Diceros bicornis minor: one gene and its partners. The protein of the gene in region 3 purifies or fractionates together with the protein of the main gene of each other region. This does not show direct contact. Links are inferred from orthologs where the notes say so. Each region holds a gene or a part of one and is shown on either strand. Other genes may lie near its edges. The genes, in order: GTPBP4, GNL2 and LYAR.

The links.
Region 1: the proteins of LYAR (region 3) and GTPBP4 purify together in Homo sapiens (co-immunoprecipitation; 3 studies listed by BioGRID and IntAct, with this or other methods). This does not show direct contact. The link is inferred for Diceros bicornis minor from reciprocal best matches to the Homo sapiens genes LYAR and GTPBP4.
Region 2: the proteins of LYAR (region 3) and GNL2 purify together in Homo sapiens (affinity purification with mass spectrometry; 3 studies listed by BioGRID and IntAct, with this or other methods). This does not show direct contact. The link is inferred for Diceros bicornis minor from reciprocal best matches to the Homo sapiens genes LYAR and GNL2.

What each region holds. Positions count from the first base shown.
Region 1 is NC_080775.1:998,920-1,006,293, forward strand, and holds the start of GTPBP4 (GTP-binding protein 4), read left to right. Parts: upstream 1-4,362; 5' UTR 4,363-4,416; coding exon 4,417-4,464; intron 4,465-5,717; coding exon 5,718-5,888; intron 5,889-7,374. UniProt on the Homo sapiens protein: Involved in the biogenesis of the 60S ribosomal subunit. Acts as a TP53 repressor, preventing TP53 stabilization and cell cycle arrest.
Region 2 is NC_080752.1:51,627,476-51,635,553, reverse strand, and holds the start of GNL2 (nucleolar GTP-binding protein 2), read left to right. Parts: upstream 1-4,993; 5' UTR 4,994-5,108; coding exon 5,109-5,172; intron 5,173-6,862; coding exon 6,863-6,947; intron 6,948-7,919; coding exon 7,920-8,014; intron 8,015-8,078. UniProt on the Homo sapiens protein: GTPase that associates with pre-60S ribosomal subunits in the nucleolus and is required for their nuclear export and maturation.
Region 3 is NC_080747.1:7,201,053-7,208,643, forward strand, and holds the start of LYAR (cell growth-regulating nucleolar protein), read left to right. Parts: upstream 1-4,545; 5' UTR 4,546-4,652; intron 4,653-4,700; exon of another isoform or gene 4,701-5,170; intron 5,171-5,192; exon of another isoform or gene 5,193-5,214; intron 5,215-7,591. UniProt on the Homo sapiens protein: Plays a role in the maintenance of the appropriate processing of 47S/45S pre-rRNA to 32S/30S pre-rRNAs and their subsequent processing to produce 18S and 28S rRNAs. Also acts at the level of transcription regulation.

The DNA of each region.
Region 1 (7,374 bases), on a different chromosome or scaffold from region 3:
CCTCAGAACCTGAGACCCTCTTTGTCTCTCATCACTCCAGGGGACAGGAGTCTAAGTACCCAGGGCCTGAGGCATCTGCCCTGGCTGTCATTAAGCTAGAGGTCCAGTGCAGCTTTCTTCCCTGTGGTACAGCAGGAGTTGTGAAATGAGTGGGACTACCTGAGTAGGACAGAAGCCCGATTTCAAATGTCACAGCCCTGACTGCACCAGGAATTTACTTAGGCCAGCGTTCAATCAGTCGAGTTCCACAATCATCCCTGAATGCTCAGGGCCATGCTGCTTGCTGTGAGGAATGGGAAAAGGACGAGACACAGTCCCTGCCCTTGAAGAGGCTGTTTCTCTGGGAAATGGGACGGACCCAGGGGAACATCTAGGAAACAGCCCAAAGCAGCCAGTCATTCCTGCTAAATGAGTTGACCAGAACACAGCTTCGGTGGGCACCCAAGGAAGTGACCGACAGATGCACTGGAGTGGTCCTAACACCTTCGAATACCAGACAGCTACCTGTGGCTAAGTGACTAATCCCCACACAAAGGCTCCTTCTAGGCAAGAAGTTGGTCACATTTCCCTGGCACAGATTCTGCTGCATGATGTACTTTTCATTAATCAGAATTATAGCAACAGGAGAGTAAAACAGAGACCAATTCCACAACATAAAGAGGTCTGAAGAATAAGCCTTTTGGCTGTGAAGTGCTCTGACAGTCAGAAGTCACCAGAGAGCACTGCAGCACACCCTCGAGAATGTCCTGCACCATAGCCGAGGCTCACCTTCCTGTCACAAGGCTCACACTCTGACGAGTCCTGGTACCTGGACACCTGACAACATGGTCAAAATCAGCTCAAGAACCGGTGACTTGCCTTCTGCTGCAGGGGCTTTTCCAACTCTCCTCAAAAAGGGCCCCCAACAGCCTGGTTCCTCCAGAGTCCAGCAGCACATTCACAAACGAGTGGCTTCCTCTTGGTGGTCTGGGACACACACCTGCCCCCAGAAAGCTGCACTCAGCCAGGGAGCGCAAGTGGAAGAGGGAAGAATGTTGCTTCTCATCAACACGCAGGTGGCGGGGGATGCTTGGTACCTCATCATGAGTGTATAGCTCTGGGCTCGCGATGAGTCATGATGCTTATGCATTCACAGACATGCCTCGTGGCTGAGCAACTGAAAGCAGATAGCTCCCTGGAGTGGTCTTGTTTTCCCAGACCCCTTTTCCAATTTCACACCCTTAGATACACAATGAGGAGGGTGTTATATATCTCTTCTTTTCATGGGCTGATTCTTGTCGCTTGAAAAGCTAACAGATAAGTCAGGTTCTGCACAACCATGCTCTCTAAGGGATGATTTTACTGCCACACTTGGGAACTGAGAATTCCTGATAAGAAATTTGGCATTTAATACACTTTATGGCAATGCTCAGATCATTACCGTGTACTGACGCGATAACGTTTTCAAATAAAATTTTATTATTGATAGTCATTACATTAATACCTCTTACTGTATGCCTTATGCTTTTGCATAATTAGCCACCATAAACGATCCTCTGAAGGTAGGCATTATTTCCCCCATTTTGTACAGGAGCAAGCAGGGCTAGGGGGTGAGTCACTTGCTGCAGCTCACGTGCCGTGCCTTGTGAGGTGCAGAGCTGGAATGTGAACCCCGGCCTTTGACTCTTCACCAGGGCAAGCATTTATTAAGTGTTTTATGCAAATATGATTTCAAATTCTTGGGAGAATAGTAAAAATACCAAAGACGTGTCAGTTTTTCATTGATAGGATTTATAAAATCCTCTCACATTTATTCTCTAATATACTTTCTCTTTGTCAAGGGTTCTCTTTTTGGTTTTTTTAAATGAACGATTTCTCTTCTGCTCTGTATGAACAAGTAGATTTCAACTGTTCTGCATAAAATCAAGAAAATAGCATATGTTGATATTTTATGTTATTAGCATTTAAAAAAAATTCTGTCCCCTCCACAAACTATTTATATAAATAATTGTATTTATGGGATGGCTGAAAAGACCTGGTCCTCAGCTTGGTCTACTCCCATTTGCCATGTAGCGCTGTGTGACCTTGGAGAGAAGCAAGCCTCTAATCTTAGTTTAGCATCACATCAGAAAGTTGTTGGGAGGCCTGGCCCGGTGGTGCAGCGGTTAAGTTCGCACGTTCCACTTCAGCAGCCCGGGGTTCACTGGTTCGGATCCTGGGTGCAGACCTACTCACTGCTCATCGAGCCATGCTAAGGCAGCGTCCCACACAGAAGAACTAGAAAGACCTACAATTAGGATATACACCTATGTACTGTGGGCTTTGGGGAGAAAAAAGAAAAAAAAAGAGGAAGATTGGCAACAGATGTTAACTCAGGGCCAATCTTCCTCAAAAAAAAAGAAAGTTATTGGGAATATTATTGAGATACTAAAAAGTAAAGCACTTTGTAAATGTTAAAGTCCTATACAAATGTAAGAAATCGTTCAATTATTGCCTAGAGCTAAGAGCTAGAGAAAGAATAGTTGCCTGCCTGAAGCCAAGGATTGACTGGACTCATCTAAATACTGGATTGAAAGAAAAAGGAGGAGGACCTGGCCATATAAGAGGGAGGGGTGTGGGTGGGGTTGAAGGAGTGCACAGGTAGCTGAGGAAGAGTGATGACCATGAGCATAGCTTTGCAAATCTCCAGAACCGTGCACAGAGCTGTCCTGTGGTTTGGCAAACGATTGTAGCCAAGGAATGCTAATGATCCCAGAGGCTTCCTTTAGGAATGCTACATAGACATAGGAGGGATGCTTATTAACTTGCTGATGACACAAAAATGGGCAGTATAGTTAATCATAGATGAGAGAATCATGATTCAAGATTATTTTTGATATTGGAATGTTGGGAATTTGAGACATTTTCATGTAAGAATGATAGGACTTGTTAAAAGGAGTTGAGGGTGCATGCAAGATCACTGAGAAGCAGAAATAGCTAACAGTTAAGAGCAGAGACGCTGGGCAGGCCACCTAGGCTCAAACTCCAACTCGGCCACCTATTAGCTGTGTGACCATGGGCTGGTTACCAGCCCTGCTGTGCCTAGGCTTCCCCACCACTTCCTAGGGTCGTTGTAGGAATTAAATGAGTTAGTATTTGGTCAACTGCTTTGACCAGTGCTTGACTCTGCGCAGCAGGTCAGCCCTGCTCGTGGCTCCCTGCTGTTCTGGAGTCTCAGTGGCGGCCAGGGCCGCTGCCCTCTCCCACAGCACTCACACAGTGAGGAGGGTTTTTGCTTTTCAGAAATGCTGCATCTGACACATCTGACATCATGCTGGTGGGTATTTCAGAACTGACTGGAAATGTCAGGCTGGAATGGAGAGAGAAGTCAAGCTGGAAATGTGTATTTCATCAGAGTCATCCATGCAAGGCAACCAGCGAAGCTACCACAAAGAGAGAAGGACCCCGGAAAGGCTGAGCAAAATCTCCATAGAAAGTCTGGAGAGGTGGAGGGCACAGAGGAGGAGTAGCTCCAGTCAGGACGAGACAGTAGGAAGGTGAGTGAGCCAAGAACAGGGGATCCGACATATTAAGACCAGAGCCAGAACACCACCTCACGGGAGGGTTTGAAGGCGATGGGAACAAGGGAGAGCGACGACTGCGAAAACGCCAGAAGGTGTAAGGACTCGGTCCCAGGAAGGCTGACGGTTCAGACTGGGCGGGGAGCGGACGCCCCGATGTAGGGATCCGAAGACACAGCGCGGTGACTTTCGGGCGGCACTGGACAGGCCAGCGGGCTCTGCAGGGCCTGGCCTCACCCTGCGGCCGTCAAGCCTTGCCGGGCCGGTGGAGACGCAGTCCGGGGTCGGGGTCAGGGCCGGGCCGGTGGAGACGCAGTCCGGGGTCGGGGTCAGGGCCGGGCCGGTGGAGACGCAGTCCGGGGTCGGAGTCGGGGTCGGGGCCCGGCCGGTGGAGACGTGTCCCGCCGCGCTCCGCACTTGACCAAACTTGACCGCGTTAGCAGGTCAAGAGGCGGCGCGCGCGCTCCCGCACTTCCGCCCTTGCTTTACCCCGGGGCCGCGCGCGCCCCCGCCGGCCACGGCTCCCGGGCCCCTAAGACTCTGCGGGCCCCGAGACTGGAGGTCCCCGAGCTCCCCGAGCTTCCGTAACCCGCCGGGCCGGGCAGGGCGGGCAGCACAGGCCCCCAGGACGGCCCGCCGGGACCCCACCTATACCCGCACGGAGTGCCCGTCCGCGCCGCCCCTCCGCGTCCTCCCCACGCCCCGCGGGCCCCCAACCCACCCCGCCCAGACACCGCCCCGGGGGACCTCCGGGCCGGGCGGGGGCGCCGTGCGACGCGGAAGCCGTGCGCGGCGGCGCCGGGGCCGCCCGGAAGTGACGCGTATCCGGCGGAAGTCCGCCCGCCTGCTCCGCCGCTCCTCGTGTCTGACCGCCGGCATGGCGCACTACAACTTCAAAAAGATCACCGTGGTGCCGTCCGCCAAGGTAGGGGCTGAGGCGCCTTCCGCCCGAACCACCCTCGGCCGGTCGCGGGAGGGCCGGGCCTGTGATGCTGGGCTGGGAGAGGGGTCGCCGCCTCGCCAGCCCCGCCTCCCGGGCCGCGTCCCCCGGGGTTAGGGGTCCCCCCGGAGAGTGGGGGCTCCTTCCTCAGAGGCTAGGGCCCCCGGGATTAGAGTTCTTCCTCAGGTTTAGGTTCTTTCTCAGAGGATTGGGGCGTCCCCGTAGGAGAGGGGGTCCTTCTTCAGAAGTTGGCGCCCCCGTGGATGAGGGGTCTTTCCTCAGAGGTTAGGGTCCTTCCTCAGTGGTTAGGGTCCTTTCTCAGAGGTTAGGGTCCTTCCTCAGAGGTTAGGGTCCTTCCTCAGTGGTTAGGGTCCTTCCTCAGTGGTTAGGGTCCTTTCTCAGAGGTTAGGGTCCTTCCTCAGTGGTTAGGGTCCTTCCTCAGAGGTTAGGGTCCTTCCTCAGAGGTTAGGGTCCTTCCTCAGAGGTTAGGGTCCCCCGGGATGAGGGGTCCTTCCTCAGAGGTTAGGGTCCTTCTTCAGAGGTTAGGGCTCTGGGGGGTTAGGGGTCCTTCCTCCCGGGTTCGGTCACTCCTGAGGGAAGAGGGCGAGTCAGGGGAAGCTTGATGAAGTGGGTGACTTTTGAACTGAAGCCTTGAGGGTCCGTGGAGTCTGCCAGCTGGAGAGGGTGTGGAGATCTCGGGGCGTGATGTCTGTGCCCCTCCTAGTGCTGACAGTGTTGTAGGCGCTGTCTGCCAGTTTCTCTTGGCGCTGGGGAATTCACACAGAGATCCTGTACATCCTCAGACAGTCAGCTTACATATCTTAGAAGATTATAAGCAGTGGGTTTTAATTTTACCAATTATTTTGTATGCTTTGAAAGTCAAGGATATGCATATCAAAATTGTAGGATTGTTTCTTTTTTAATATTTCTTCTGATTTATGCTTGAGTTATCTGACTACTTAAGTTTCAAAGGTTCTTAGGTATTTAGAAAATAAGATAACATGAAGAACATATGGGATAAAATTTATTTCAGCAGCTATTTGCTAAATGTTTTTTAAAGTCCAGACAGTGTAAAAGATGAACAAAGTTGTATATAGAAGACTAAAGATTTAGTTAACAAAAGTGTTTGTAGTTTAAAATGTGTAGTAGTGTTAGATATTAGTCTTTTAAGATTTCAAGTAAGTGCATGGAAAGTAGATGTGTTTGATGTAACTGTGTCTTATTTTATTTGATCGCAGGACTTTATTGACCTGACATTGTCGAAGACTCAACGAAAGACTCCAACAGTTATTCATAAACATTACCAAATTCATCGCATTAGACATTTTTACATGAGAAAAGTCAAGTTTACTCAACAGAATTACCATGACAGACTCTCACAGATTCTAACGGATTTCCCCAAATTGGATGTAAGTGACTCCAAGGGATACAAATAGTTATGTAAATGTGAGCCTTCAGAAAATCGATGTTTAACCAGTTTGGTCTACTTATCTGACAGATAATGAAGGAAACAGAAAATAATTGACTTGTCAGAGTTTACTCAGTGAGTTAGTGGCAAAGCTGGGAACAGAACACGGGTTTTTTGATTCCTTAGTATTCTTCCTTTCCCCCAACTAAACCCCATCTAAGAGGGCCCAAAGCTATCTCCTCAAGCTTTCTTTGCAACCTCTAGGCTTGCGGGGCCAACCCAAGCTCTTTAGCTGAGGACTGTGAATCCAGGAGCCTGGGGTTCTGGTGGCTCACCAGCTCGTCTGGGCTTCCTCTCCTCCCTCTTTTCCAAGGCTCCTTTTCTTGTGGGCTCACATTGGATCAGTGGCCTGAGGTCCATACTGTTTGTGATCTTGTTGCTTTATCAGCCGTCGACAGTCAGTTCAGTACCAACCACTTTCTTCACTGCCAAGAAGAAATCAAGTGGGGAGCTGTGACTTATACATCAAGCTGAACAAGTTGAATTCCTCACTCTGCTGCATAGTGCAGTTTGCCCATTTATTGAGCTATGGAGGGCAGGAGCAGACACTGCTTATGAAGTCCCTGTGAGGGGTCACACAGTTGCAAGGTTCTTTGAGGTGGTGAAGGACATGGGGTCAGCAGTACAGTGTGAGAGCCTAAATTTGCCACTGCCCGGAAATAGTCCCTGAAGGTGGGTTAAGGCAGAGAGAAAAAGTTGGTTTATGTGACAAGAATTTCTTTTATATTTAAAAAGGTAATAATGGCTATTTAAAAAAATACAATAATAAGTCAGTTCTGCTAGCAGACAGGCACTTATCTTATGTATTTCTCTAGGACTTGACACAAGTGCTTGATAGCTGCTTATTGGATGAGTGAATAATTTTTTGGGAAAGGGCTAGTACCATAGAAAGTACCTGGGAATGAAAAAAGACGGAAGAATGAGGCTATTCTAAACTGATTTGGTATTAGGAAGCACCTGATTTGAGCAAACAGAAAATATCGTGACCTAATTAGTACCATATTTTTGTGGTTCTTTGTAAGAAATTTTACATTTTTCATTCTTGGTGTTTTTTTTTTTTATGTTAGAGGTTCAACTTTATAAACATTCTGTTTATTTATTTATTTTCAATTAGAGTTAGTTATATGAGGATCACTTTAGGGTAGAAGGTTAGGGTAAGTTACCATTCATTGAATGATTGTTGTGTCTCAGATACTGTTTTAGGCACTAGGAATACAGCAGTAATAAAAAAAAAAAAGGTTTCTATCCTTGTCTAGTAAACATGACATTATATAGTGTGTCAGATAAGAAAGGAGAATAGGGAGTGCCTGAGCAGGGCGATTGTAGCAGAGACCTGAAGGAACTGAGGTGGTGAGCCATGCAGTTATCTGGGGAAAGAGCACTGTAGGCACGAAAATAGCAAGTGCAGAGGCACTAAAGTCTAGAGT
Region 2 (8,078 bases), on a different chromosome or scaffold from region 3:
GGAGTTGACTCGGTTTAGATTTTTTAACGTGACATTATTCTTCTGGAAGCAATCCAATGGACCTAGTTAACATTTTTAAAAAGTGTTTTCCTGAGGAAAATGGGGGAGGTGGGCAGGAGATGAGGGGTAAAGAATTACACAAAGATTTAGTCTAAGGGCTTAAAAATCAAAAGGATCATTGGACAGATAGATATCAAGTGTAATAGGAAACACACTGATCCTGGGGAGATGACTTAATATGGGCCCTCCAGCCTTCTTGGAGCTTAAACAATTATCTACGATTTGGAGTTACACTTCAAATTCCCACATCGGTGTGTGTTCTGGATCCATTTCTCAGGATGCAGCCAGCAATCTTGAGTTATCTAAACCAGGCTGAAAATTAGAGGCCGTTAACAGCATCTCATAAAATTGCTTCTCAGATTTTCTTAAGCAGAATTTGCTGAGGACCACAGGGATTCAGTAATAGGAAGGAGCAAAATGCTGCTAGTTATTTTTCCAAAGCTTAATCTAGGGATCTTTTTGAAGAGCTCCTTACCCAGCAATGAGATGAATGCCAAGACCAATACAGACTATGTTTTTCCCACTTAGAAGTGGTGACCAGATACATTATCCATGAAGAAGTTTCTTGGGGTTCCCAGATGTGAGTCTCTTAGCCACTTTTCATAGCTACCCAGCCTACTATCTTGCTATATCCTTGTCCAAAAAATTCCCAGGCATCCTAGACTGAAAACTAGACTGAGGGCAATTTGGCCAATGAAGCTCCAATTTAATACATCTTATTTTCTTATATTCCCCTGTAAACTTTTGAGGTTGTATGACCAAGGACTCTCTCTTTTTGTTTTCTACAAACAAAATTAAAAAACAAAACCCTGAAAACATATTCTGAGTACTTCTCTGTTCTCCTAGGATCCCAGAGCCTCTGCTTGGGGGCTAGTAACTGTTTCACATTGAGCAACAGCCACTCCAGGGGCCCAACTCTTGGCCCCAGCAGGCAGGGGTCAATGCATTGTGAATTTGCCAGAGGATAGACACAGGAGACTGAATAGAGAAGCCTCTGCTCTCTCAGTTCAACAGGGAAGGATAAATCAACAAGCTGGCACTAATTAAGAGCTAATGGCCTTACAATGGAGTGTTGCCAAAGGATAACGACCCTCCGGCTGCAGCATAAATATCAAGGCATTTGGGGTAGAGCCAAGACATATATTTTCAGAGTGCATAAGACGCTGCTGCAGCCTTCCTCACCCTGGCTCTGCTGAGAAAAAAGAGAGGATTTAAGACAGGTGGAGAAGGAGCTAGGTCTTATTAGGGCTGCCTTCTGGTCAGCTGGTCAGAAAGCCTGAGGATGACTTTTGGGAAAGACTTTGCTTTTCAGAAGATCTCAAACTTTTGTGTATACAAGAATCACTTGAGGAGCCGGTTAGAATGTATATTCTTTGGGCCCCACCTCCGGAAGGTCTGATTTAGGTAACTCTGGGGTGAAGCCCAAGAGCCTGCATTTTTAACCAATTCCCCCAACTGATTCTGATGCTGGGGGTCCTCAGAGCACACTTTGAAAACTGCTACTTTAGAAGCTGCTTCTACTTGCCCATTAGATCCCAATGAAGAAGTTTTTACAGAATGAAGCGAAGTCAAGATTCTCTTCTCCCTGTGAAAACACCAGTCCATTCTTTCCTTTTAGAACTTGGCACAAGGCTGTTTCAGAAAGGTGGCATTTTGAAGCCGACCCGGTGGCATAGCGGTTAAGTTCACACGTTCTGCTTCGGCGGCCTGGGGTTTGCCAGTTCGGATCCTGTGCGCAGACCTACTCACCGCTCCTCAAGCCATGCTGAGGCGGCGTCCCACATAGAAGAGCTACAACTCTTCAACTATGATACACAACTATGTACTGGGGCTTTGGGCAGAAAAAAGAAAAAGAGAAAGATTGGCAACAGATGTTAGCGTAGGGCCAATCTTCCTCAAAAAAAAGAAAGAAAGAAACGTGGCATTTCGAGCCAATTCCTGTTGGGGTCTTCCCATTCACACAAACCTGTGGTTACGAGGAGCAAGGTTCCAGGGAATGAGGAGCTAACCATAAGTCTGGAGGAAAACAGAAAGCATCCCATCTACATGGGGTGTACCATTTCTGCTATGCTTTCTTACAGCATAATTCATATGATCACGCTGCAATCTTTCAGCGTAGTTAAATTAATATATCTCTTCTAAAGCTGAGGAATCATAGGCCTGGAGGTGTGTCTTGCTTCCTCTGGTCACCACATCAGGAAGGAGAGTGAAAAATCTATTACAGGGCTGGCCCCGTGGCTTAGTGGTTAAGTGCGCGCGCTCCGCTGCTGGTGGCCCGGGTTTGGATCCCGGGCGCGCACACATGCACCGCTTCTCCGGCCATGCTGAGGCCACGTCCCACATGCAGCAACTGGAAGGATGTGCAGCTGTGACACACAACTATCTACTGGGGCTTTGGGGGAAATAGATAAATTTTAAAAAAAATTTTAAAAAAAACCTATTACAATTATGGTCAGCAGGGCAAGCAAACCAAATCAGTAACTTGAGTTTGACCTACCTTGATCAGGCTTATTATCAGCTGGTAGAACTGAGGTTGGTTGTCGGGATCAGCCATACTGTTGTAAAAGGATTGATGGGATTGATGGCTCAGATTATAAAAATAGACGGAAAGTTCATATGATAAACGCAAGCTGAGTATGAGAACAGGAGAGAAACAACGCACCATATCATCTGGGAAAATGAAACTCCTTGGCAAGACTTCACAACAGCCTGATTCAAAATTTCATAATGAAATTATGTCTCTGATCAAAGCCTGAATGAGCTCATGGGCTGATTTTTGCCATTCGTGTTTATTCTGGTTTGAACCAAACTGAGGCATCAGAAACACATTATCTTAGTTTTTTCTCCGGGAGTGGGCCATTGCATCCTCCTTTGGGGGACCAAAGGGACAGTGTGAGGCAGAAGGGGGCATCTTTGGATCCTCAGTGGGCATGAAGTTGTTTCTGACCAGCTTTCAGAGACTCCCTCAGACACCGTGTTAGGTTCAGAGCCTTTCTAGCAAAATCGTGTTAAATTTCACGATACTTGCCCTTGGGGCAATAAAAGTCAATCTCAAGGGAGAGAAGGTATTTCCCCCTGTTGTCTAGGACATGGCCTGCTTTTGCTCTAGAAAGAATGTTTTTCGGTTTGTTTGTTTCAGACTCAGAAAAATAAAGACTCAGTCATCCCCCCACAATTAGAGTTCCTCACTTTATACTAAGTTGTTTGTTTTTACGGAATGGGCTACACCACAGGCTGGAATCCACCTTCTTCCTGCCTAACCACCTCTTCTCTGGACTTAGGCACAGTGATGGGCATTTCCTGACAACTTGAGGTGCCAAAAAAACAGAGAGGGCTTCTTGGTTGAAACACTGGCATCTAGAGAGTTTATTTTGACTAACAGAAACAGAAATTTCTGGGTCTTACACCCTTGTTTCCCCCTCAAGGCAAGAAGCATTCCCATCTGCTATTGATTACATGTTTGTGTTCCCCTAAAATTCATATGTTGAAGCTTTACTCCCAATGTGATAATATTTGGAGATGGGGCCTTTGAGAGGTAATGAGGTTTACATGAGGTCATGAGGGTGGGGCCCCCAGCATGGGATTAGTGACTTTATAAGAAGAGGAAGAGACCAGAGTCCTCCTTCCTCTCTCTGACATATGAGGACACAGTGAGAAGACGGCTGTCTGCAAGGCAAGAAGAGAGTTCTCACGAGGAACCCAACTGTGTGGGCACCCTGACCTCGGACTTCCCAGCCTCCAGAACTGTGAGAAATAAATCTTTGTTATTTAAGCCACCCAGTCTACGGTATTTTGTTATAGCAGGCAGAGCTGAGACACCATCTATTCATCATTCATTCAATGAATATTTATTGAGTCCTTACTATCTATGTGTCAAGTGCTGTTCTAAGTCTTGAAGATACAGCAGTGAACAAACTTACAAGGTCCCTGCTCTCAAAAAGCTTATATTCCAGTTTTGGGGAAGCAGCTGATGAACTCGTAAATAACAAATTTCAGCTAGTGATAAATGCCATGAAGTAAATAAAACAGAATAATGTAACAGCATAACTGCAGAAGGATGGGAGATGGCTGATTTAGACAGATTAGACAAGAAAGACTTCTCCCAGTAGGCAGAGTTGCCAGATAAAATATAGGATGCCCAGTTAAATTTCAATTTCAGATAAACAATGAATAATTTTTAGTATAACTATGTCCCAAGCAACATTTGGGACATACTTATACTCAAAAAAATTTCATTGTTTATCTGAAATTCAAATTTACCTGGGAGTCCTGTATTTTTGCTAAATCTTGCAACCCTACCAGTAGGTGACATCTGAACTGAGAACTGAACCACCAGAAGGAAGTAGCTATGCCAAGAATCAGGGAAAGAGTGATTCAGGCAGAGGGAACATCCAGTGTAAATCTCGGAATAACCAGAGGGAGGGAGGTACAAATGAAGTCAGATAAATAGCACGGGCCAGATCATGCAGAATTCTGTAGGGATGGCAAGGAGTTTGAGTTTCTTTCTCTCTGTCTCTGTCTCTCTTTTACTCTGAGTGATGATAAATTATTGGAGTTTTAATAAGGGTGCCAAGATCTGATTGATTTGGCTGCTGTGTGGTCAGCCACTTTTGGAAAGACTTAGAGGATAAATTCATTAGATAATTAAACTTAAGCTTGTGCCATTGGCCTGGGAAGAGGTTTCTGTGTTTGGGGCGGACCGAAGTAGGAGCTCTGTGCCGAGCGTCCAGGGTGACTAGGCGGTTGCTATGGAGGGGCAGCGTGGCGGTTGCTAGGGAGAGAGGAGGGCGGGGGCTCGACGCAGGGCGACGTCTAAGCGGCCGGGGCGGGGGCGGAGCCAGGAGTGCGGCGGCGCGCGGCGCGCGTTCGCAGGAAGTCGCGCGGGGGCAGGAGGGGGCGCGAGCGGAAGTGACGTAGCACTTGCACACGTGGTCCAGCGTGCTTCACGCCGGTCGCTGTGGCTGGGCCTGGGGCGTTACGAGGTTTTTTTACCTTTTTTACCGTACGTAGGTCGGACCTAGCACTCGGGTCCCCGTCGCGGCGGCAAGATGGTGAAGCCCAAGTACAAAGGACGGAGCACCATCAACCCGTCGAAGGCCAGCACAAACCCCGGTACAGGCGGCGGGGCTCGCGGAGGGTGGAGCTTGGAGGAAGCTTGCGGGGAGGGCTCCGAGGAGACCGAGGGGGAGGAGGGACACCCGGGTGGCATGGCTTGGAGTGACCTCAAGCAGAGTGGCTGTTGGGGATGGGAAGGGAGAAGATGGTTTCTTCATTCGGAGGCACTGAGGAGGGCCGACATCTTGCACGCCTGTCAGGGCTGGGTGCCAGGCACCGAGTCTGAAGTCGGAGAGAGGGAACGCTCAGGCCTGGCAGCCTTGGGGCGTCTCCACTTGTGAGATGCAGAGACTGGGAAGCTCTGAGTTGGAAGGGGCAGTTAAACTTGACCTCTTCTTTTGTTCCTGTGTGGGTCGTGTTGAAGCCCCTCCCCCAATATATGTCAGTCTCGTATGATTCCAGCTCTCCAGCTCAAGGCTTGCTAGAAGTGAATTAGATCAAGTTGGATTAAAAGTGGTGTAGGCCGACGCAGCTGGCTTTTTACACTTGACCACACTTGCTGCCACCTTAGCTTTGACAATTTAAGTGAGAAAGGGATTGTTAATTTGGCTCTTGGAGTCATCCCATCGGGTCAAGTGTGTGGAAAACCCTACAGATAAATAAATAAGATCATTTCACTGAAGATGTTTTTGGAGATGTTTATGAGTTTTGTTGAGGTTCCACCTACAGGTTGAACAAGGTGGCCTTTGGGGGAGTCCCTTCCATTTGGGTTTAGTTAATAAAATTTTGTTTTTAAATATGGTTTCAATTTTTTATGGCTTTAATTCATGTTGAGTGTTTTCCCTGGATTGCTGATAAATTACTCAATTTGTGTAGACTGGAATCTTAGAATGTTAGACCCGAAAAGGTCCTTAGAGATCTTGATGTCAAAGGTGAAGAGACTAAGCCAAAATAGGGGAAGTGGCTTGTCACAGTTGGCATGGTTAGTCAGTAATAGAGCCATCAGTCCGGTGATCGCAGCCTCTTTTCTATGACATCACTGTAAGAGTAGACAGGTGGTTTGAAGGGATCCCCACATGAGGCTGGTTTTACGACACTTGTCCTTCTCTTTCTCTCTGAGATGTAAGACAAGAATTACTACCTATTTTGCTGTTGATTAAACTAAAATCAAACATTCGGAAATTAAGAAACTAGTACATTAGAAACACTTAGGTATCAAGATTGTAGTCTCCAGGGTGCCTTGCATGTAGCAGGCACTCAAAATTTGTTAAAGTGAGATCCAGAGGTGGATGTCTTTGTGGTTCAGAGCACAGGTGGTGATCAAATGCTGTTGTTCACATTCTGGCTTGCCATTTGTGACTTTGGGCAAGATGTCTGGCCACTATGCCTCAGTTTCTTAGCCTGCAGAATGGGGATAATGTATCCCTCTTTATAGGATTATTGTATGGATTACATGGGATGAGACCTATAATGTGGATAGCACAGTGCTGTAGTTAGTGCTCAAAAATATTAGCTCTTATCATTATCAAACACAGTCTTATTGAGGATCAAAGGTTAGATCAGCTTTGTCATACCATGTAGCTTCCAGTAATAATTTTTTTGGAGCAACATATGGAGGAAGTAGAGATTTTGCAGTGAGGTGGCGGCTTGCTTACTTTGAGTGAACTAGTTGGTGTGTTTGAAGCAACGACCGTACTTAGACTTGTTGGTTATCAAATGGTGTGCAATCTACTTCTGGGTTCCCTAGATCGAGTACAGGGAGCAGGAGGCCAAAACATGAGGGACCGGGCCACCATCCGGCGCCTGAATATGTACAGGCAGAAGGAGCGCAGGTGAGTACTGGGTGCTGGCATCCTCCCCCCTCTGCTTCAAGCCCTTGACTGAATAGCTGAGGCCTATTAAACCTATGATATTCCCACTCCCACTTTCCCCAAATACGAGTAGTGTATTTTCAAGTATCATTTTATATGGGTGTTATTATGATAAATTGTGAATTCTTGGTTAAAGACATGAGTAGTGGGTGGAGAAATTGTGATTGTGTCACAATACAGCAATTAGAGGTCTTGTTCCTTACAGCCTCAGCCTCCACGAATGGCATATTAAATCTCAAGTTAGGTATCCGTCAGATGGAAATCTGGTTTTCTTTAGTGAAGCATATAGGACTGTAGTCATGAAAGCAGCGAGAGAACTTGTTTTTTAATGCCAGACTTTAGATCACAACATTGTGGCACTTGGAAACTCACCACCAATCTGCGTTCTGCTGAGGCAGCCTCTACCACGGGGACTTGCTGAGTGTGGCATTTTTCTAGCTGGTCTTAATTTGTTTGGTAATTAGATTCTCCATCCGTTCTAAAAGATGTGTCTAAAACACAAATGTCAATGAACTTAATCTGCCTTAGTCACCTGCTCTGCAGTTTGTTTCAGAATTTTGAGTTCCAGCACAAATCACCCTCTACTTAAAATTCATTTAAACCAGCCTTCAAATAATTACCCAAAAAACTCACGTATGTGATTTTTTTTTAAAGCTAACAAACAGTAAACAGATTTTTAAACATCAGCTTTATTTGTTATTCATCCAGCAGAAATCGTTACGTGCTCTGTTGCAAGAGGTTAAATGGCTTTTGGGCAATCTGTTTCAAATGTAGAAGTACTTTTTGTTTACTGAAATCTGTATTTCATGATCCTTTAAAACCAAAAAAAGGAAAAAAAAATCCTTTTGATGGAAAGGGTATTCTGTAAACCAGACTTTGCTGTTGTTGCCTTTCTTCTGTCGTCAACCAAAATCTGTCATTTCCTCCATTTAGGAACAGTCGTGGTAAAGTGATTAAGCCTCTGCAATATCAATCAACAGTGGCTTCTGGCACAGTGGCGAGAGTGGAGCCAAACATTAAATGGTTTGGTGAGTATTGTCCTCTGCTTCTCTTGCTTTACAACGTGTGCACTATATGGAAAGGGGTAGAATG
Region 3 (7,591 bases):
TTCTTGGCCTTCATCTGTTCTAAGCAGACAACTCCTCAATTTGAAACTTTAGCTTTGACCACCAGTTCCAAATGTTCAACTTTCTGCTAAACATCTCCAACTGTAAGACCCCTCAACTTAGCATCTCCAACACTCCTCCCCCATCATCTCACTCCCAGCTGTATACTTATGGTTCCCCTATTTCTTTACGGAAAGCTTAGTTTTTGGTATGTTGAGTTTGGAGCATTGGCATGACCTCCTGCTTTGAAATCAGAGTGGTATTCAGAGAAAATGGAGACCAGAGATGATGTCATCTTTACAGAGCAACACTGAAACACTGGGAGTGGATAATATTAACCAACCCAAGAACACAGAAACGGAAGCATTATGTCAGGCGGTGGAGCACTGTCCCCAGTGTTGAGTCCTCAAAGGTACTGAACAACCAAACGATTGAGTAATCAGTTACCTACCCCTGCCCCATTGGTTGCCTGAAAAGAAAAGGCTTCCTGGTTTATTATTATTAGCTATCATTTACTGACTGCTTACTACAGGCTGGGCACTGTGTTAAGCACATTATACCCATTAACTCAAATAATGCTACAAGAACCCTATTACGACCATTTTACAAGTGAGGAAATTAAGAAATGGGGATTTTAGGTAACTTGCCCAAGACTGTAAAACTGTTTTGTTCCAAAGCCAAGATTTAAATCCTGGTTCCTAAACCCTGGAGTCTATGCTATCTTCCATGAGAAAAGGACATTAAAAAACACAACACAGAACCTTCCTCCATAGACTTAAGTGTTAAAATGCAGCAAATATTCTGAATCTACATTAGATATTTTCTAGCTATATACAAGTGATAAAGAGGAAAAATTCTTTGGAATGACTCTTAGAGTTATGATGATATGCAAAGTTATGAACCATTCCACAATTTACTTTGACCATAAAAATTTTAACTATTCTATATTATTTAATGTAATTCTCTAATTGCTTCATGACTTCAATCCTGTACTTCCTCAATAAGATTATAAAAAGCTCCAGAAAAAGAATCAGCATCTTATATTTCTTATGTGTCCTATGAATAACAACTATAAATAATAATGTATCCTGCACCTAATAACACATATTTATAAAATGTTTCCTATATGCTAGCCACTATTCTAAGTTCTTTATACATATTAACTCATTTAATTCTCAGGATAACTGTAAGATAGGTACTACTACTACTATCCTCATTTTATAGATGAGGACATGGAGGCACTTGGCAGATTAAAGATGAGAGCAACTTTTTTAACACTCCTCCTAAGGGCAGGATTTAGGTTTCTTCCCCTTGAACCTGAGCAGCTTCTGCCTTAATCAGTAGAACAGGCAAAAGCAAAGGTGTGAAGCTGTGCTCATCTCTGGGCCCAGGACCTAAGAGCTGACAGCTTCCACCTTCCACCTTTCAGAACACTGGCCCTGGAAGGCCTGAGTCAGCAGTCAGACTGTAAGATGCCCAAATGGAGAGCCACAGGGAGCAGGAGAAAGACTCAGCTGACCCCAGCCTTCCAGCCACCCCTTCCCAGGTACCAGATATAGAAGCAAAGCCCCAGTGAACTCTCCAGCCCAGCCCCCCTCAAGCTGAATACCACGTCCAGTCAACACCATGTGGAGCTGAAGAACTGCCCAGCAGAGCCCTGCCTGAATTCCTGACCCACAAAAATGTGAGATAAAATAAAATAGTTTTTAAGTCACTGTTTTGGGGTAGTTTGTTGCATAGCAATAGATAACCTGATCAGGTACAGAGAGGATGGTCACACAGCTAATAAGTAAGGGATAATCAATAAGGGGCAGAGTTTTGTTTTGTTTTTTTTTTGGTGAGGAAGATTGGCCCTGAGCTAAGATCTGTTGCCAACCTTCCTGTTTTTGCTTGAGGAATAATGGCCCTGAGCTAACATCTGTGCCAATCCCCCACTTCGCATGTGGGTTGCTGCCACAGCATGGCTTGATTAGTGGTATAGGTCTGCGCCCGGGATCCAAACCCTTGAACCTCGGCCGCTGAAGTGGAGCACACTGAACTTAACCAATACACCACCAGGCCAGCCCGAGTTGGGATTTAAACCCAGGAAATCTGACTCCAAAGCCCACAGCTTACCCACTACTTCAAGTTACATGTGACAGATCAAAGGCTTTCCTTGGATCAAATCAGTTGCTTCTTCAGTCTATTGCCTATGCCTGATTGTTCAGGTAACCCCACAGATAAGCACCTTACGGCACAGCACACTGAGGACTAATGCACGGCACACAGGTGGTCTGGTGTGATACAAGGAGCACAGGGCTCTCTTCCAACTTTGCAGCTAACTCACTTTGTGACAAGGAGCAAAAATCTTCGGTGGCAAGACATGTTCTACATCTGTGTTACTGGTCAGCTTATCTCTGGTACCTAGAAGAGTGCCCTGCACACAGCAGGTCCTCAACAAACAGTTTTTGGATGGATGGAGACCCTGGGGCTCAGTTTTCTCATCTATAAAAATGGAAACGTCCCCCACTGGGTTAGATACTCTCTAAGGTATCTTCCTGTTCTAAGTGCTACAAACCTATACCAGGAATGTGATGGTGGAAAGACAGACTGACTGGCATCAAAAAGAGTGGAAATATAGGAAAAGAGAACAAGAACAAACTTAGACAGATGTGAATGACAGGTGCTTCTAAAGGGAACAAGAGTCAGAACGGAATTTTAACCTACAGAGAGGGCTCCTAGAGCAATGGCCCTTCTGTTCTGCAGGGCAATTCCTCAACCGGTCAAACACCACAGGACAGAATCTGGGGAAGTTTGTTCAGCAGGCCATCAACAGATTAGTTCTCCAAGGGTCCGCAGTTCACACCCCTCAGCACCAAGCCTGCCTGAGAGTGGTCCTCCCTTCCTCTTTGGCCACCATGTTTTTCAGATGGCTTATTCCCACCCCACCCCAACCCCAACGACAAAAGCAGTGGCTTCCAGCAGACAAGCCTGGATCCTTGTCTTCCTCTATAATGATCTCCCACCCAGGCAGGCCAGTTCAGTTAAGCTGACACCGTGTCCTAATCTGCGGAGACATCCGGTGAGGACGGCATGCTGAAGAATTGAACCACACCCGTTCCCCGCCCTCCAGCGGCTGGTCTCGGTCTCCCCGTCACTCAGCGACTTCACAGAGCGCCCACTGTGTCATGTTCACCGAGGACGCGACGGTGAACGGCTCGATCCGGCCATCCACGCCTTCACGGGGCGTCAGTGTCGCAGGGGGAGCAAGGACAGCCCCGGCCCAGGGTACGCTGAACGGGGAGCAGCAACTCATCTGGGGAGGAGGGAGAGGGACAACTTCCCGGAGGAGGACACCTGCGCTGAGACCCGAACGTGAAGTCCGCCGAGGACGAGGACGAGGACGGGAGCTCGCCGCGCGTCTGCAGGGGATCAAACGGCACCGACGCGGAAGCGCCGGCAGGAACCGGGCGCGGCGCCCGGCCCACGAACCGCATCGCGAGCGCCCTGCGTTCCGACCCGGTGGCCGTGCTGTCCCCTCTCGGAAAACACGTCCCTCCCTGTCCACTGCGCTGACTTCTTCTGCCATGGGCTGGACTGTCCCCCAAATTCACACGCGAAGTGCTCAGGCCCAGCCCCCGGGCGTGCGGCTGCATCCGGAGAGGGGCCTCGCAAGAGGAGATGAGCTAACAGGAGGTCGCTGGCCCCACCTGGCTGCGTCCTTGTGAGGGCAGGAGGGACACACAGGGACCCCAGCGGCGTCCCGCACAGGGGAAGCCGGGCGGCGAGGACACGGCCGGCCCGGGGAGCGCCCCGAGCCCGGCCAGAGCGTGGGTGGGGATGGTGAGCGTCGTCAGCCCCGGCCTGCGGGACCCAGACACCCCGCCGCAGGCCCAACGCCGCCCGTGCCCGGGGACCGCCTCCCCGTCCCCGGGCGCGCGCGCGTCATGTCCCCCGCTGCCCCCGCCTCAGGACGCGCGGGGGCCGGCGTGAGGGGACGGTGCCGGGGCGGCCGAGGCACCCGGGCGCGGCGCGGCCGCGGCGGCGGCGGGGAACAGCACCCGGGCGGTCGGGGCGCCGAGCAGCCGGCCAGCTGCGCCGGGGGGCGTCCAGGCCGCGGGAGCCGCTCGAGGGGCAGGCCCCGCGCCCGGACGGGGACCGGGACCGCACCCGGTGTCTGAGCCGCGCCCGGCGCCCTCGCCGGTCACCTCACGCCGACCCCACCGCTCCCCGCCGGCCCTCGGCGGCCCTGCCCTGCCGGCCCCGGCGCTCGGCCGGGACTCCGGGCCGCTCCCACCGCGCCGCACCCGCCCGGCCTCGCGAGACCGGCCCCCCGGCCCGGCGGCCCCCTCACCCTCGGAGGCCGCTCCTCGCCCCGCCGCGACCTCTTCACCTGCCGTCCCCTCCCTCAGCGCCGCTCGCCGGCCTCCGCCGGCCGCGGAACCATCCCGGCAACGCCCCCACGGCCGGCCGGGCCCGCCCTCCGGCTTCCGGCGGCGTCACTTCCTCCTGGGGGGTGGGGTGTGGCCGCGGCGCGCAGGCGCGCGGGGAGGCTCCAAAGCGAATTCGGCGCCGGGAAGCTCGGGAGGGAGGTGGTGGCCGCGTGGGGCGGGAGGCGGCGATTCCACGTGCTCCCCGCGGCCGGTTGAAACCGTTGGCGGGCTGTGGCCGAGAGGTGAGGGGGTGGCCCAGAGATCCGACTCGGGAGGCCGGGCGGGAGGGAGGCCGCTGCCGCATTTCCATCGTTAGAGCCCCTGCTTCGGCTCGCACGCAGGGCAGGAGGAAATCCGCTCAGATCTTATGCGTGCCCTGGGGTGGAAAGAGGCCTGGATTCGGGGTGGCCAGTTCCTCCCGATCTTAAACGGAAAGGCCCTCGTGCCGGGAACCCCCCTGTCCTGGGCAAACCAGGGTGGTTGGTCGCGGCCGGCCTGGGCTTCAGGCTTGCTGTATGCTGGGGACAAGGCTCTTGTCTTCCCCGAGTCTTGGGGAGCTCGGTCCCCAAAGAGGAGGCCTTAGAGCATAGGGGTTGAGAGCACGGACTTAGGACCAGAATGACTGCGTGTGCATCCGGGTTTGCCACTACCTGGATGTGTGACCTGCTGCAAGTTACTTAAGCTCTTCGTGCCTCAGTTTCCTCGTCTGTCAAAGGGGAATAAGATAGAACCCAACTCAGAGGACTGTTGGGAGGATTAGGTGAGCACAAACGTCTTACCACCTACGACGCGGCTTGGCACGTGGTAGGTGCTCAATAAATGTCGGGATTTTCTGCAGCATCTGCCTCTGAGGAGACAGGGAGGGGAGCAAGGGGGAGCGTATTTGCAAGGCTGACTTCCTGCAGAGAGGGCCCACCTGGCACTTAGTCACACTGCACCCCCCGTCTCCAGCGCTCAGCGTGGTGCTGACAGGTGGTAGACTTCTACAGATGGTTTTTCCACCAGCAAAGGGATGCTGATAAAACAAGGCTGGTGATGGAGTCTGTGGGTGAGGTGGAGGGGTAGAGACGTGGCTTAACTTCTCCCAGCCTGTTTGCTCCTCTGTCAAGTGGAGATAGGTGTGCCTGTCTCCTAGGGCTTCTGCAGGGAGCAGGGGAGAGGTCCAGGGTGAATGCATATCGCGACTGTCATGGCCCCCACATTCAGGTGGTTAGGCAGGATGGGGGATAGTGTGTACTTGTGTGTCCTTCCCTTTCACCATACCCTTGGTTTCTTGGAATTTTACCCCCTGGAAGGGGCTCAGGGCTGGTCCAGTTGGCCCGACCCATTGTTTCACAGATGGGAAAACTTCAAGTTCAGAGGGGACAGTAACTTGCTCAGGGTAACAGTGCTCACTGGGGGCTGTTGCCAGCTTGGCCCCTCAGGTGAGCGGTGATGGGGTTTAGGTCTGTGTATGTGTGAGAGAGAATATTTTAAGAATAGTTAACGTAGTTTTTGTAAAAAAATAAACACCAAAATGTATAGGGAGGAAGGTAAAAAAATAACTCCAGATATAATCCCAGAAGCAAACCTGAGTTGATGTGATCAGGGAACAGGGCGGTGGCGTAGGCTCCCGTGGGCTGGAGATCCAGAGGAGACTGGAGTGAATTTATGAAGCTAGACAGTGGATTGAGGGTCATATTTAAAGAAGCATGAGTTTGGGAAGCGACTGGGTGCAATCGTATTGATGTGTAATTAATAGGTCACTGGAAATTCTTTCTACTATTGAGTAAGGATGAATCTTGCACATCTGGTATCTTTTTTAACTTTCCACTCAATGCTCCAAGATAGATGTTAGACCCAATTTACAGATAAAACAGATGCTGGAAAGTTAAGGTACCTCGAGGTCATTTAGTTTTGAATTGACAGATATGGGCTCCACCTCAGATCCTCTGGCCCTGTGTCCAGGCCCAGTTCAACAGAACCTGGCCACCATCTTGCTAAGAGGAGACTGAGGAGCCTGGATTCCTTCACAGGTTCCCAGTCCCTTACTGATGCTATCTGCTGCCCTCAGCTCGGCATCACTGTGCAACACCAGACATCCTCTGCTGAGACACGGTGGTCTCCTTGCCCGGTACAGGCCGGCCTTAGGATGAAGACTTAGGGTCCTAGTATTTCAAATGGAAGGTCATGAAATGCACGACATCTGAGCCTGGGAGACAAGGTGTCCTAAAAGTCTTACTGCAGCATGTTTTCAGCTTTTCTAACTTCCGAAGTATAAATGTTACAGATTTACTAAAAACATCGTTTGAAAGTTTATTTAAATTTCTTTGATATTTATTTAGTCTTGTGAAATCTGAATAAGTTTAATCTTCTGTTGTAGGCAATGCTTGCTATCATCAGTTGGAGGGACTGAATTTTCAGGTGGGATCTGTTTGTAAGTTTGTAGCATTACGCTTCTGACGTTGTTAAGCCTGCACTGACGCTGGGGACACCCCGTCTGCCATGCACTTAGGAGGATCCTGAGCTTGCGGTTCACGGCCCACCCCCGTAGACACACACGGCGGTGTTTCCTGCTTACATGAAAGGTGTTTCCTCGGGGGAGGTCAGGTGTGAAGTGTAATCAAGGTGACTCTTGGCTGGTGGTGGCATGTCCTCTGGGCTCTGAATAAGGAGGGATAAGCTCCTTACAGACCGTATCTCACTAGCAAGCAGGCGGTCACACTGTCCCCGTTTCAGATCAAGTGTAAAAATGCAGCGATGGCTCTGAAAGTCCAGAGGAAGGCACCAAGAGACTGAGTTCTGATTTACTGTGCAAGCCACCCATTCTGCCTTTAAAAAAACTTAACAAATTTCTAAATGTGAACATTCGCCACAAAAGACCAAATGAAAATGGTTGGAGAGGTATTTCTCCAATGGACATGTGACCACATTCTAATCCTCTCTTGAGGTGATGTTTACACTGTGTGTGGTTAATCCCCAGAGGGATGACACGTTTTGCACAGATACTCCGAGCATCTTTTTTGTCAACATCACTGGCTTCTTTCTGCTGATAAATTTTGTTTTCAGCTGTCCTTCTCAGGCCTTTAATTCCTGACCTTTCATGACAGACTGAGTCTCCCCACTGGATCTCAAGCTTGCCGAAACCTTCCTCCCCTCCGCCCGCCCCCTGGATCCAGAAACAGAATAGACCTCCACAGTG